Rattus norvegicus: one gene and its partners. The main gene of each other region encodes a partner of the protein of the gene in region 2 in a complex. Links are inferred from orthologs where the notes say so. Each region holds a gene or a part of one and is shown on either strand. Other genes may lie near its edges. A codon is read from its position in the direction of its gene.

Evidence for each region.
Region 1: the proteins of Kcnab2 (region 2) and Kcna1 are in contact, whole or in part, in a crystal structure (PDB 1EXB), measured with the Rattus norvegicus proteins. Residues at the interface, in NP_059000.1 of Rattus norvegicus: Met196, Tyr199, Ser200, Arg203, Glu231, Lys235, Ile236; in NP_775118.1 of Rattus norvegicus: Glu37 (codon at 2,119), Met70 (codon at 2,020), Phe73 (codon at 2,011), Asp74 (codon at 2,008), Pro75 (codon at 2,005), Leu76 (codon at 2,002), Asn78 (codon at 1,996), Tyr80 (codon at 1,990).
Region 3: the proteins of Kcnab2 (region 2) and Kcna3 are in contact, whole or in part, in a cryo-EM structure (PDB 7EJ2), measured with the Homo sapiens proteins. The link is inferred for Rattus norvegicus from reciprocal best matches to the Homo sapiens genes KCNAB2 and KCNA3. Residues at the interface, in NP_001186789.1 of Homo sapiens: Met196, Tyr199, Ser200, Arg203, Glu231, His234, Lys235, Ile236; in NP_002223.3 of Homo sapiens: Pro133, Met137, Phe140, Pro142, Leu143, Asn145, Tyr147.

The regions. Positions count from the first base shown.
Region 1 is NC_086022.1:161,155,014-161,158,708, forward strand, and holds Kcna1 (potassium voltage-gated channel subfamily A member 1), read right to left. Parts: upstream 2,262-3,695; 5' UTR 2,228-2,261; coding exon 740-2,227; 3' UTR 516-739; downstream 1-515. UniProt on the Homo sapiens protein: Voltage-gated potassium channel that mediates transmembrane potassium transport in excitable membranes, primarily in the brain and the central nervous system, but also in the kidney.
Region 2 is NC_086023.1:168,190,669-168,194,314, forward strand, and holds part of Kcnab2 (voltage-gated potassium channel subunit beta-2), read right to left. Parts: intron 2,793-3,646; coding exon 2,749-2,792; intron 1,877-2,748; coding exon 1,790-1,876; intron 1,085-1,789; coding exon of another isoform or gene 1,037-1,084; intron 1-1,036.
Region 3 is NC_086020.1:197,318,956-197,322,913, reverse strand, and holds Kcna3 (potassium voltage-gated channel subfamily A member 3), read right to left. Parts: upstream 2,591-3,958; 5' UTR 2,337-2,590; coding exon 759-2,336; 3' UTR 637-758; downstream 1-636.

The DNA of each region.
Region 1 (3,695 bases), on a different chromosome or scaffold from region 2:
CATTTAATCAAGTTGCCCTTTTCTTAGAGAATAGACTGGGATTTAGGAGAACGGGGCAGATGGAAAATCCCAACAGATTGGGACCAGTAACAGATTTGCAAGGTGCTTTCTGAACCATTCTTAATGAGTCCGGATTTTGTTAGCCTTGTATGCAATTCAGTTGATCAAAATAAAAGCATTTTTCCCCCCACTGACCACTGAGGCTGTTACATGGTGTTCCACGGGGCACACTATCTGACATGTGCTGTGCAATTTGCAAAAATTTTACAGTGGAGTTCCATGCAAATTTGAATTTTTATGTTCCTAAGTGGTCATCTGATTTTTAGGTTTAAAAAAAACAAACAAAACAACTTAAGCCAAAAGATTGGAAAAACTTCAGTACAAGGAAAGCATGAGTCTTATTTCACACAGACTACTTCATGGGCAGCGTTTTAGAAAATCCTCTTTCTTTTCTCATTTTTTAAATAAAAATGAAAATAGTTGGTTATTGGGTTGGGTTGAGTTTTTATATTTTTTGTTGGGTTTTTTTTTTCTTTTTGCTTGTTTGGTTGGTTTTGTTTTTTAAATGTGATCTTGAAAGCTTCAGGTTTGCCCACCCCCCAAATTCACAATGCAACAGTGCATTGCCAGTTAAATAAAGCATTCAAAGACTACGGTTTTAGTAAAGTATCTACAGAGTGGGACAGGAGTCGCCAAGGGTTTTGTTTGGGGGCTTTTGATTGCTTGCCTGGTGCTTTTTTTAAACATCGGTCAGGAGCTTGCTCTTATTAACGCAGTTTTGATCAGTTGCGGTGCAGTTACCAGTTCTGATATTAGCCTGCCTGTAGTGGGCTATGCTATTGTTCATGTCCTCTTCGATCTCCATGTACTCAGACTTGCTGATAGTAGAGGAGCTGCGGCGGCTGAGGTCACTGTCAGAGGCTAAGTTAGGAGAACTAACATGGAGCAACTGAGCCTGCTCTTCCCCCTCAGTTTCTCGGTGGTAGAAATAGTTGAAATTGGACACAATGACAGGTACGGGCAGGGCAATTGTCAGCACACCAGCGATGGCACACAAGGAGCCCACGATCTTGCCTCCAATTGTCACAGGGTACATGTCACCGTATCCCACAGTGGTCATGGACACCACCGCCCACCAGAAAGCATCGGGGATACTGGAGAAGTGCGACTCAGCTTCTTCCGCCTCCGCAAAGTACACTGCACTAGAAAACAGTATGACGCCAATGAAGAGGAAAAAGATGAGCAGCCCTAACTCCCTCATACTAGCTTTGAGGGTCTGGCCCAGGATCTGAAGGCCCTTGGAGTGGCGGGAGAGTTTGAAGATTCTGAACACCCTTACCAAGCGGATGACCCTGAGGATGGCCAGGGAAGTGGCCTGCTCGCCCTTCTGATTCCCCTCCTGCTCAGCTATCTCTGTGCCCAGGGTAATGAAATAAGGGATGATGGCCACAATGTCGATGAAGTTCATGATGTTCTTAAAGAAGTCTGTCTTGCTGGGGCAGGCGAAGAAGCGCACCACCAGCTCAAAAGAGAACCAGATGATACACAAGGTTTCCACAATGAAGAAAGGGTCTGTGAAGATGTTAGAAGTGTAGATGACTGTGGTGTTATCGATGCGGTGAATGGTGCCCGTGAAGTCCTTGTCATCCTTCAGCTCAGGGAGAGTCTCCAGGCAAAAGATGACTATGGAGATGAGGATGACCATGACGGATACAATGGCAATAACCCGTGCAGGTCCTGAGCTCTCCGGATACTCAAAGAGCAGCCACACCTGGCGCTGGTACTCCTTCTCGGGTAGGGGGCGCTCCTCTTCCTTGATGAAGCCCTCATCTTCCCGGAACTTCTCCATGGCCTCCTCGCCCAACTCGTAAAATTTAATCTCCTCGGAGAACATGTCCAGGGGCACGTTGACCGGCCTGCGCAGGCGCCCCCCCGACTGGTAGTAATAAAGGATGGCATCGAAGCTGGGCCGGTTGCGGTCAAAGAAGTACTCATTCCTCAGAGGGTCAAAGTAGCGCATGCGTTTCTTCGGGTTGCCCAGCAGCGTGTTGGGGAACTGGGCCAGAGTCTTGAGCTGCGTCTCGAAGCGCAGCCCGGAGATGTTGATCACCACGCGCTCGCAGCATTCGTGGTCGTCGTGGTCCGCCTGCCTTGGGTAGCTGCCATCCTGGGGGTGACCTGGAGCGGCCGAAGCCTCGTCTGCATTCTCCCCTGACATCACCGTCATGATGGATGCAGGGTGCAGGGGTAGGAGGCCAGGAGAGAGCCCGGGGTGTAAAGGAGCGAGGGAGTAGGGGTGGGGGGGACCCAAACGGCCCCCCCACCGGAGAGTGAGTCTCCCCCACGCTCACAGGGAGGGGCTTCAGACCCAGAAGGTTCAGAGGTCTACAACTTTGCTAATTATCACCTCCCCTCCTCCACTCTGCCTTTTACCCAATTTGGAAACTCCTCTCGCCTAAGGGCCCCCAGTGAAGCTTTTTTTTTTTTTTTTTTGAGGTGGGGGTGCTCTGTTTTTGTGTTGGTGAATGGGTTTTTCTTCCTGATCTGATTGTCTTAACGCACACCTGCCATGACTTCGGGGCTCGCCCCGGCTCCCTTCCCCTCCTGCAGCCCTCCTAGGACCCGGTGCAGTGCCAACTCAGCAGATCCCCGGGCCTGGCACCCACTTTGCTGCTCCTTGGCTCTCCCCCCTCCTACCCCTCTTCGCCTGCCGCCTTCTAAGCTCCCACCGGGGCGATCGATGGACGCTGCGGAGAAATAAAAAGTGATACGAGGGTAGAAAATCAGAAGCATTCGGATGGGACGAACCTAAAGACACCGAAGAGCACAGACTACCACCTTTTGTAGAACACACCGGACTTTTACTGGGGTTAACACATACTCACAGACAGACACACAACAGACACCCAGAAATCCAAGTTTGGAAATCTTCCATCCCACTTTTCCCAACGCCCAACAGCCGATCTGTTTACAACTCCGTTAAACTGGAGATCGGGAAAGCGCTTAGCGATACTGGAGGAGCTGCGGGTCCTAGGCAGCAACCCCTCACCCTCAGCCTCCCCCACCCTGTCACCCCTATCTCGAATTCTGCAGCCCCGAACTAGGGAGCTTCCTACCTGGCGGACCGGCTTGGCGCAGAGGCGGTACTGAGACGGCGGAGAGTCTGAATGCGGCAGGTCGCCTTTGCAGCAGCCGGAGCGAGCAGCCGCCACCACCGCAGCAGCACGCGAGAGGCTCCGGCCCCTGGCGGTTCGCGTCCTTCTCCTCTCAGGAGTCCGATCGTTTTATCGAGCAGCTACGGAGGAAACGTCCGTACCCTACCCCCATTCTCGCACGGTGCAAGCAAACAGGAGATGCTGTCCTCTGTCTGGGGCAGAAAGTCCCGGAGGATGCGGGGTGGAAAAACAAAAAGGCCACCTTCTCCCGAGTCACCCAAGCAAATGGCGATAAGCTTCACTCTCGCCCCCTCCGAACACTACGGGAGCCCTTGATTCGATCCCGAGGGAGGCGGGCGGCTCAAAGCCTGGCTCTACATGGCTCTCGGGTAACCTGCACTCTCCGTACCACAGCACGGACCTCGTTCCGCGGCGCGCCGCGAGCCTTCAGCAGCTTGGAGTGGGGCAGGGAGCGTGTGGCCGCAGGTCCGCTCGGTCCATTTCTGGGCGCTGCAAGATCAGCAGAAACCTGAGAAAGCG
Region 2 (3,646 bases):
GTGACCGGCTGTTCTGAGGGGTGGGGGGACCTAGGCACCTGGGGGATGTGGGCAGAGGCAGGCTAGATGTTGGACACATGTTCTGGAGCACTGCACTCCAACATGTCAGTGGACCCTGAAATAGTGACACTTAGGGACGGCAGTCTTTCACCTCAATAATTAATACTGCTGGACAGAAGCAGCGGTGCCAGCTCCTTCCAGCTGCAGCCAAAACCCAGGGCATCTTTGCAGCGTCACAAATAATACATAGGAGGGGTCAGGTGGCAGCACCAGGTGGCAGGCAGCTGGAATGTTGCCCAGCTCCTAGGGGGACAAATGGCTACCCTTGGAGGTGCAGTTCTAGACGGTTCTGCTGATTGTGGGGGAGGCAGATACCAAGCATGGCCCAAGAATGCCCTGGGCCTTGGCACCATGCCAACTCATGTACATATTCTCCAAGGAAGAGAATCACTCCATTTCGATAGAGTGTCCTGGCTGCTACATGAGCAGCCATGAGTGACCACAGAGCCAGGGCACTCACAAGGAACCGGCATGGTAGGCAGGGTATCTTGCTGGCTGGTGTTCTGTTCCTCTGTTGGAGGCTAGAGCTTAACAAGTGTGAGCTATGAGATAGATTAAGTCTTCTTAGGGGTCACAGGACCCTTCTGGAAACCCTATCATATCATCCAAGGTCAACTTCCCAGGCAGGGACTGGAGGAGCATCCTCAGATCAAGAGAAGACCCCGGCAGGAAGCCAGCCGGCCTCATCAGGTCACGGCACCGCAAGCATGGAGCTGGGGGGGTGGGTGGGGAGAAACATGCACGTCGGGAGGGAGGGGATGGGGATGGCAGCATGGATGGACAACAAGGGGCTCGGATGCCATTTTGCTTTCGCTTTGCTTGCACGATGTCCTCACAGGGGCACGTTCCCCACCCCTTATGCATTTTATGGAGAAGTTTGTCATGGGGCGGGGGACGGAGCGTCGTGAATAAAAGTACTGTCTCATAAAATGCAGCTCGGACACAGAGTCAATAGTCGGATGAGGGTACTGTGTACCTTCAATGATGAATGTCCGTGACTTGAAGGAACTAAATGGGTCCCCTGCTGATAAAAGAAAGGTTTAAAGAGACCAGAGTTTATCGCTGTGGGAACACAGAGGCCTGGTATGATAAAGGGCAGGACAGAAGGGCACAAATCATCGCACAGAACAGAGTTCTGTTAAAAAGAAAGGAGATATAGATATATATATACACACACACACAAGTGCAGTATATATATAAAAGCAAATGGAGACGTAATAACCAGTTCAACTTAACCTCCCAAGTCCCTGAAGCAGCGAAGCAAAAATGAGAAGATGCCGAGGCAGCGGGTGGGAGAGATGGAGGGACCGGGCATCGGAGGGGATAAATAAACGCTAAAGAAACCCAGACAGCTAGCTCTTCAAAGCACCGAGTGCTCAGTCTCCTTCAGGCAATGAGACCCCACTAGAGCAGAAGACCTCTAAGCCCTCCCAGGGAATCCAGAATGAAAGAGTTCAGTGGTCCCCGACAGACACCGCTGCACAAAATACCAACCACTGAGCAAAGAGAACGCAGCCAGGGGAGAAGTCCTGGACACAACCAGTTCACAGAACAAGATTAGTGCCTGGGGCCATCCCTCCCCAACCCGGGGGCCTGGCCACCTCTGTCCTGAGTGCTGAGTGTGGGTGTGCTTGACAGTTACCAAAACTTCAGAATTGGTTCTGCTCTGCGTGGTTAGGGAGCTAACTGGTTGACCTGAACTGGCAAGGGGGATAACTGGTCGACCTACCTTCCATGGGTGTGTTGGGGTCTGGGCGGTTGGCAAAAACCACATCCACGTACTCCAGCTGCAGCCTCTCCAGGGAAGCTTTCAGTCCTGGGAGAAGAGCAGGAGGGTCAGCTGTTTGTGTTTCTAGACCCACCCTTGGACTTGGCTCAGGGGGCAAGAGAGGGGTGAGGGCAGGCTCATGTCATGTAGAGCTTTAGGGCAGGTGAGTATCCCAAGGAGATGCCAAGACATGAGGCACATCCTAAAGGGAGTGGGCATGCTGGCCATTCCAGAGGATGTCAGAGGAGCTACTGGTCAAATGTCCTGAGACCAAATGGATACATGCCCTTTGGGCCACTCTCAGGACCTGGTGGTCTCTATGCAACTAGCAGAGCTGGCTATGGTACCACACAAGGAGGGTGCAGTATTAACTAACTGTACGTAAGGCTGCTGGTGTTGGGCATACACAAGCCACTGACCTCCCAACAGCCCGGAGCAACAGCTAGGGTGAAAGCTGGGTCTGAGGTGAGAGGGCCAGGTACCAAAGCCCCCATTATGATGTTCGTTATAAAGAATATTACTTAGAGGAAATGTGACTCGAGGATGGTAGAGCCGTCATCCAGTCACCCCCACTCTGGGCAGCATTTTGCTATTCCCAGCAGCCCTGAGTCGGGGGTATACCCTCATAGCCCTGCTTTCTAGACCCTTTGACACAAGCTCAGGGAGGTGCTGGCTCTCCCGTAAGACCATTCAGTCAGCACATACTCAGCCTGCCCCAAAATCTGGCCAGTGGGAACACCCTCTGCAGGTCCCCTCCCCACACCTCATATCTTTTTGGAGCAGAAAGGGATGGCCAAAGGAGGGCTCAGTGTACCCCAGGGTCGAGACCTGGGCTGGATCACTGAAAAAAAAGGGTGAGCCACTACACTTCTTAGCTTTAGTCATGTGCCGGGGACACCATGGTTAGAGTCCCTCCTCACCTTCGATTATGTGCTTCCGGGAAAGGCCTCTCTCGGTCTCTGCCCTGAAAAATAGGCCAACAGGGTAGGAGATGTTGCAGTTGGTTCGGGGATATTATTTATCATACGATGCCAGGAAAAAAGCAGGTCGGGAAATTCGACATCTGCAGGTGACAACTACGGGCTCAGGTGGGCTCCTAGACGCTGCCCCAAGGCGGTGTGGGGACGAGGCTTTCAATATCATCTGCCCAGCTTGGATTTATGTGTTTATGCTTTTTGAGATGGTTCCTCTCTGCTTAGCTCAGGGTGGCCTCAAACTCATAATCCCTCTGTCTCAGCTTCCCAAGAATCAGGGATTACAGATGTGAGCCCAGTTACAGATTTTTTTCTTTAAAGTTAAGAACGAATCATATACGTTTTAAATTTTTCTTTTCTTTTCCTGTTTTGTTTTGTTTTGTTTTTTGTCCCAGGCCAGCCTCAAATTTATTGCATAGCCGTGGATGGCCTTTAGTTTTTGCTTCCTCTGCCTTTGAGGTGCTGTAATTACAGTCATGAAACCAGTGCACTTAACTGGTGGGATATGAGGAGCCCAGGCCTTCAGGCCTGTCTGGCAAACGCTCTTCTAACTGAGCCACTTCCTCAGCCTAGAAACCACACTTACAACCCCCGTGAGATGAACTTTGCCCTTTGCCCTGTAGAGAGTACAGACTCGGACACCTGGAAACAGGCAGAGTGGTATAGGTGGCCCAGCAGGGACTTTAAGAGGGTTTAGACAGTTCACCGTTTTCTGCTTTCTGGAATGTTTATAATGTCACCATGTAAGTAGAAATAACAAAAATTAAGCAACGTCCGAGTGACAGACAAATTGGGCCAAAGTTTCTTGCATTTTGGGATTACGTCAATGGCTGTGGTCCCCAGA
Region 3 (3,958 bases), on a different chromosome or scaffold from region 2:
TTCTGTTGTTTCTCCTGGCAGCACTGAAAATGAGTTTCTAGACTTTCGTAGATATTGACTTGGGCATGAACTCACAACTTCATTGGAATCTGTGTCTAATGTTTTCAAAATGCTTTGCAAACTCCGAAGAGTTAATAGTCAGATCAGGACATTTGGGGCATTTCCCTTTTGGTTCAAAGTTATTGTGAACCTGAAATTCTTAGAGGGGAGATTCATACTGAAAGGCCAGTCCAAAAAAAAAATTATAGAGGGTTTACACGTCAACACTCTAGTTAGACTTTCCACCCACACATCCAGAGGTTAAGTAGTTACACTTAGTCAGGAAATAATGCTGAAAAGTCCACCGAACAGGAGCATCATTTAAGTTCTGCCTCCTTTACTTAGTAAAGAAACAACTATCTTTTGATTTTTGAGGTCACACAGTTACTCTGACTCTATAGTTTCATTTCCTCTCAGGATGTAGCTTTAGGGCTTGCACAAGAAACCAAGCTTAATGTAAGTTTGTTGTTCACAAAATTAAGAAACAGGGAGAGAGAGAGGGAGAGAGAAAAAGAGCTGAGAGAATGCAGCCCACTTGCAAAACCAGGCACCTGTTTCAGTATGAAGCAATAGGGAGAGGGAGAATGAAGTGTGCTTTTCCACTTCTTCATGTACTTTCCTTGATGAATGGTCTGGAAATGTATAAATCAAGGGCATACACAGACCAAGGGGGCATGTTCCACACAATACTGGGCACAGAATGGCAATCGTATCATCTATTAGACATCAGTGAATATCTTTTTGATGTTGACACAGGAGTTGGGATTATTGTTGGTGGTGCAAGTGGCAGTGGAGTTGCCCGTTTTGAAGGGGGTCTGGGGGAAGGCGCTGTGGTTCATACCCCCCTCTTCGATCACCATATACTCCGACTTACTCAGAGTGGAGTTACTCCGGGCTTTTCGGAGCTCCTCTGCTGAAGAGGAGAGGTGCTGGCAGCTTCCCACGTGCATGTACTGGGCTTGCTCTTCCCCTTCTGTCTCCCGGTGGTAGAAGTAATTGAAGTTGGAAACAATCACAGGAACCGGCAATGCAATGGTCAAGACACCTGCGATGGCACAAAGAGAGCCCACAATCTTGCCTCCTATGGTCACTGGGTGCATATCACCATAACCGACAGTTGTCATGGTTACCACGGCCCACCAGAAGGCATCCGGGATACTGTTAAAACCCGAAGAAGGGTCGTCTGCCTCAGCAAAGTAGACTGCACTGGAGAAAAGGATGACCCCAATGAAAAGGAAGAAAATGAGCAGCCCCAGCTCTCGCATGGAAGCCTTCAGTGTCTGTCCCAGGATCTGCAGCCCCTTAGAATGGCGGGAGAGCTTGAAGATGCGGAAGACCCTTACTAGGCGGATGACCCTCAGGATGGCCAGTGACATAGCCTGCTGCCCATTACCCTGTCGCTCAGCCAGCTCAGTGCCCAGAGTAATAAAATAAGGGATGATGGCTACAATGTCTATCAGGTTCATGATATTTCTGGAGAAGGTGGCTTTACTGGGGCAAGCAAAGAATCGCACCAGCAGCTCAAAGGAGAACCAGATGATGCACAGGGTCTCCACTACGAAGAAGGGGTCCGAGAAGCTGGAGGCTCCAGAGGAGGCCCCCGACGTGCTGTTGTTGGCAGCCTCAAACACGTCCTGCGACGGAGAGGCGGGATAGTCCTTCTCGTCGCGAAACTCGGGTAGTGTCTCCAAGCAGAAGATGACAATGGAGATGAGAATGACCAGCACTGACACGATGGCAATGCCCCGGGCCGGCCCGGAGCTCTCGGGGTATTCGAAGAGCAGCCACACCTGGCGCTGGAAGTCACGGCGGGGCAGAGGTCGCTCCTCCTCCCGCAGGAAGCCCTCGTCCTCACGGAACTTCTCCATAGCCTCCTCACCCAGTTGGTAGAAGCGGATCTCCTCGGAGAAGATGTCGATGGGCACGTTGACCGGCCGGCGGATGCGGCCCCCGGACTGGTAGTAGTAGAGGATGGCGTCGAAGCTGGGTCTGTTGCGGTCGAAGAAGTACTCATTGCGGAGCGGGTCGAAGTATCGCATGCGCCGCTTGGGGTCGCCTAGCAGCGTCTCAGGGAACTGGCAGAGGGTCTTGAGCTGTGTCTCGAAGCGCAGCCCGGAGATGTTGATGACCACGCGCTCCCCGCAGCAATCCTGCTCGCCCGCGGCGGGCAGCGCGGGCGGCAGCGGTTCGTAGCGGTCGCAGCCGCCGCCACTGACACAGCCTCCCTGAGGCGGGTCCCCGCCGCCGCCTCCCGCCGCTTCTGGCTCCAGCAGGTGGTCCCCGGGCACCACGGTCATGTCTGGCGGCAGCTCGGCGTAGCCTGGGCTCTGCAGGATGCGCGCGCCGCCGCCCGCGGGGTCCAGCGCAGGGTGGGCGCGGTGGCGGGCGGAGGGCTGCGGCGGCCGAGCGCGGGAGGCGGCGATGCTCTCCTTCCCTGCTGGCGGTGGCCAGCTCCGAGTCGCTCCTCCTGGAGCTCCCCGCCCCACCACCGCCTCTGCCCCACGAGCCCGGCCCCGCCGCCTGTTGCTGCGGCTGCCGCGAGGCTCTGTCAGGGCTGGCGCGGCCCGCCCGGCTGCACCGTCCAGACGCCTCCTCCTCCCTCCTCCGCACCCCTCCCCGCGAGGCGCGCGCCCGCCTCTCTGCCGCCGCCCCCGGGTTTCCCGCCCACTGCGCGCGCGCGCTCCGCTTTCCGCTTGCCACCCCTGTTCCTCGCCCTTCTTTTGTCACTGGGTCGCCTTCGACTTGCACCCCACTACCCAGACCCCGCGGAACCCCTACCCTGCCAGACTGGCCTTGGAGGAACCCGGCCGCCCGACCACGTTCCTGGGCTCTACTTGCTCGCCCCTGGTCAGCGCGCGTTCCCTTCCTGCGCGTGGTCGAGTCCTAATCTCAGGGCTATTAGAACCGCGCAAGGACCACACCTCAGCACTCGAAGGCCCTCCTGGTCCTTAACACTCTTTAATACTTTGTCTGGGCAGCAGGAAGGGCAAGTTCCACCAGAATAGGTAACAAAAGTCCTAAGCACGAGGGCCAGGGCTGGCTGAGCCTCCTGACCCTGAGTGTCTTGGGAGGAGGGGCTGCAAGCTAGGTTGTCTGTGCTAGTTCAGGATACTCTGGGCCCAGCATCCTGGGGTAGAAGAATGCTAGAACCTGGGTGTTGATGCTGTAAGGAAGCAGAACTGAGTTAATGGGTAACGTAGGGTCTAAAGTCTTCCCAGTAGCTTAAAAAGAGGGTCCTTAAAGGCATTCAGAGATCTCACTTTTATAATGCTAGCTCAGTGTGGGCAAGCATTATAAAATCAGGGCCAAGTTTCTGGTCAGGACAGTGGGAAAAATAAGGGGGGGGGGTGGTAACGAAAATTCACCACACCTTACTGTGTGATAAACAGGCCTGATACCTAGAGTTTACTTAATACCATGACACCTGTGTGGTAGGGAGCTTGAGGTGTGCTTTAGCTGATAATGTGGAAAAAGCCTTCATTTTGCAGATGGTGCCTCTCTTGCTTGATTTGGGCCTACAGAAAAACATTTACACCCCCTCCCCCAACTGTTTCTTCAAAGTGTACTGGTTGCTTTAAACATAATTTCTGTTCCCAAACATTTTAGCTACCCCAAGTATAAGTACCAGAGTTACAAAATTCTGTTGTTTTTCCCTTGAATCATTACTGTTGATTGCGAAAGAGGAACTATTGTCTAGACGTACACCACTCATTCTCCGAAGTGAGCTGAAAATTCAATTTGATGCAAGAGTGATTTGTTGTCATTCCTACCACCTCCCCCAACCACCAAACTCTATGGCAACGAGGGCTTGCCCAACTTCTACTGTCAGCAACTGTCAGAGCACCTTGGAAATCACGGGGACTCAGCATTTGTTTATTGTGTTGAATTCCGCAGCAAGAGATGCTTTGTATTTATTCCC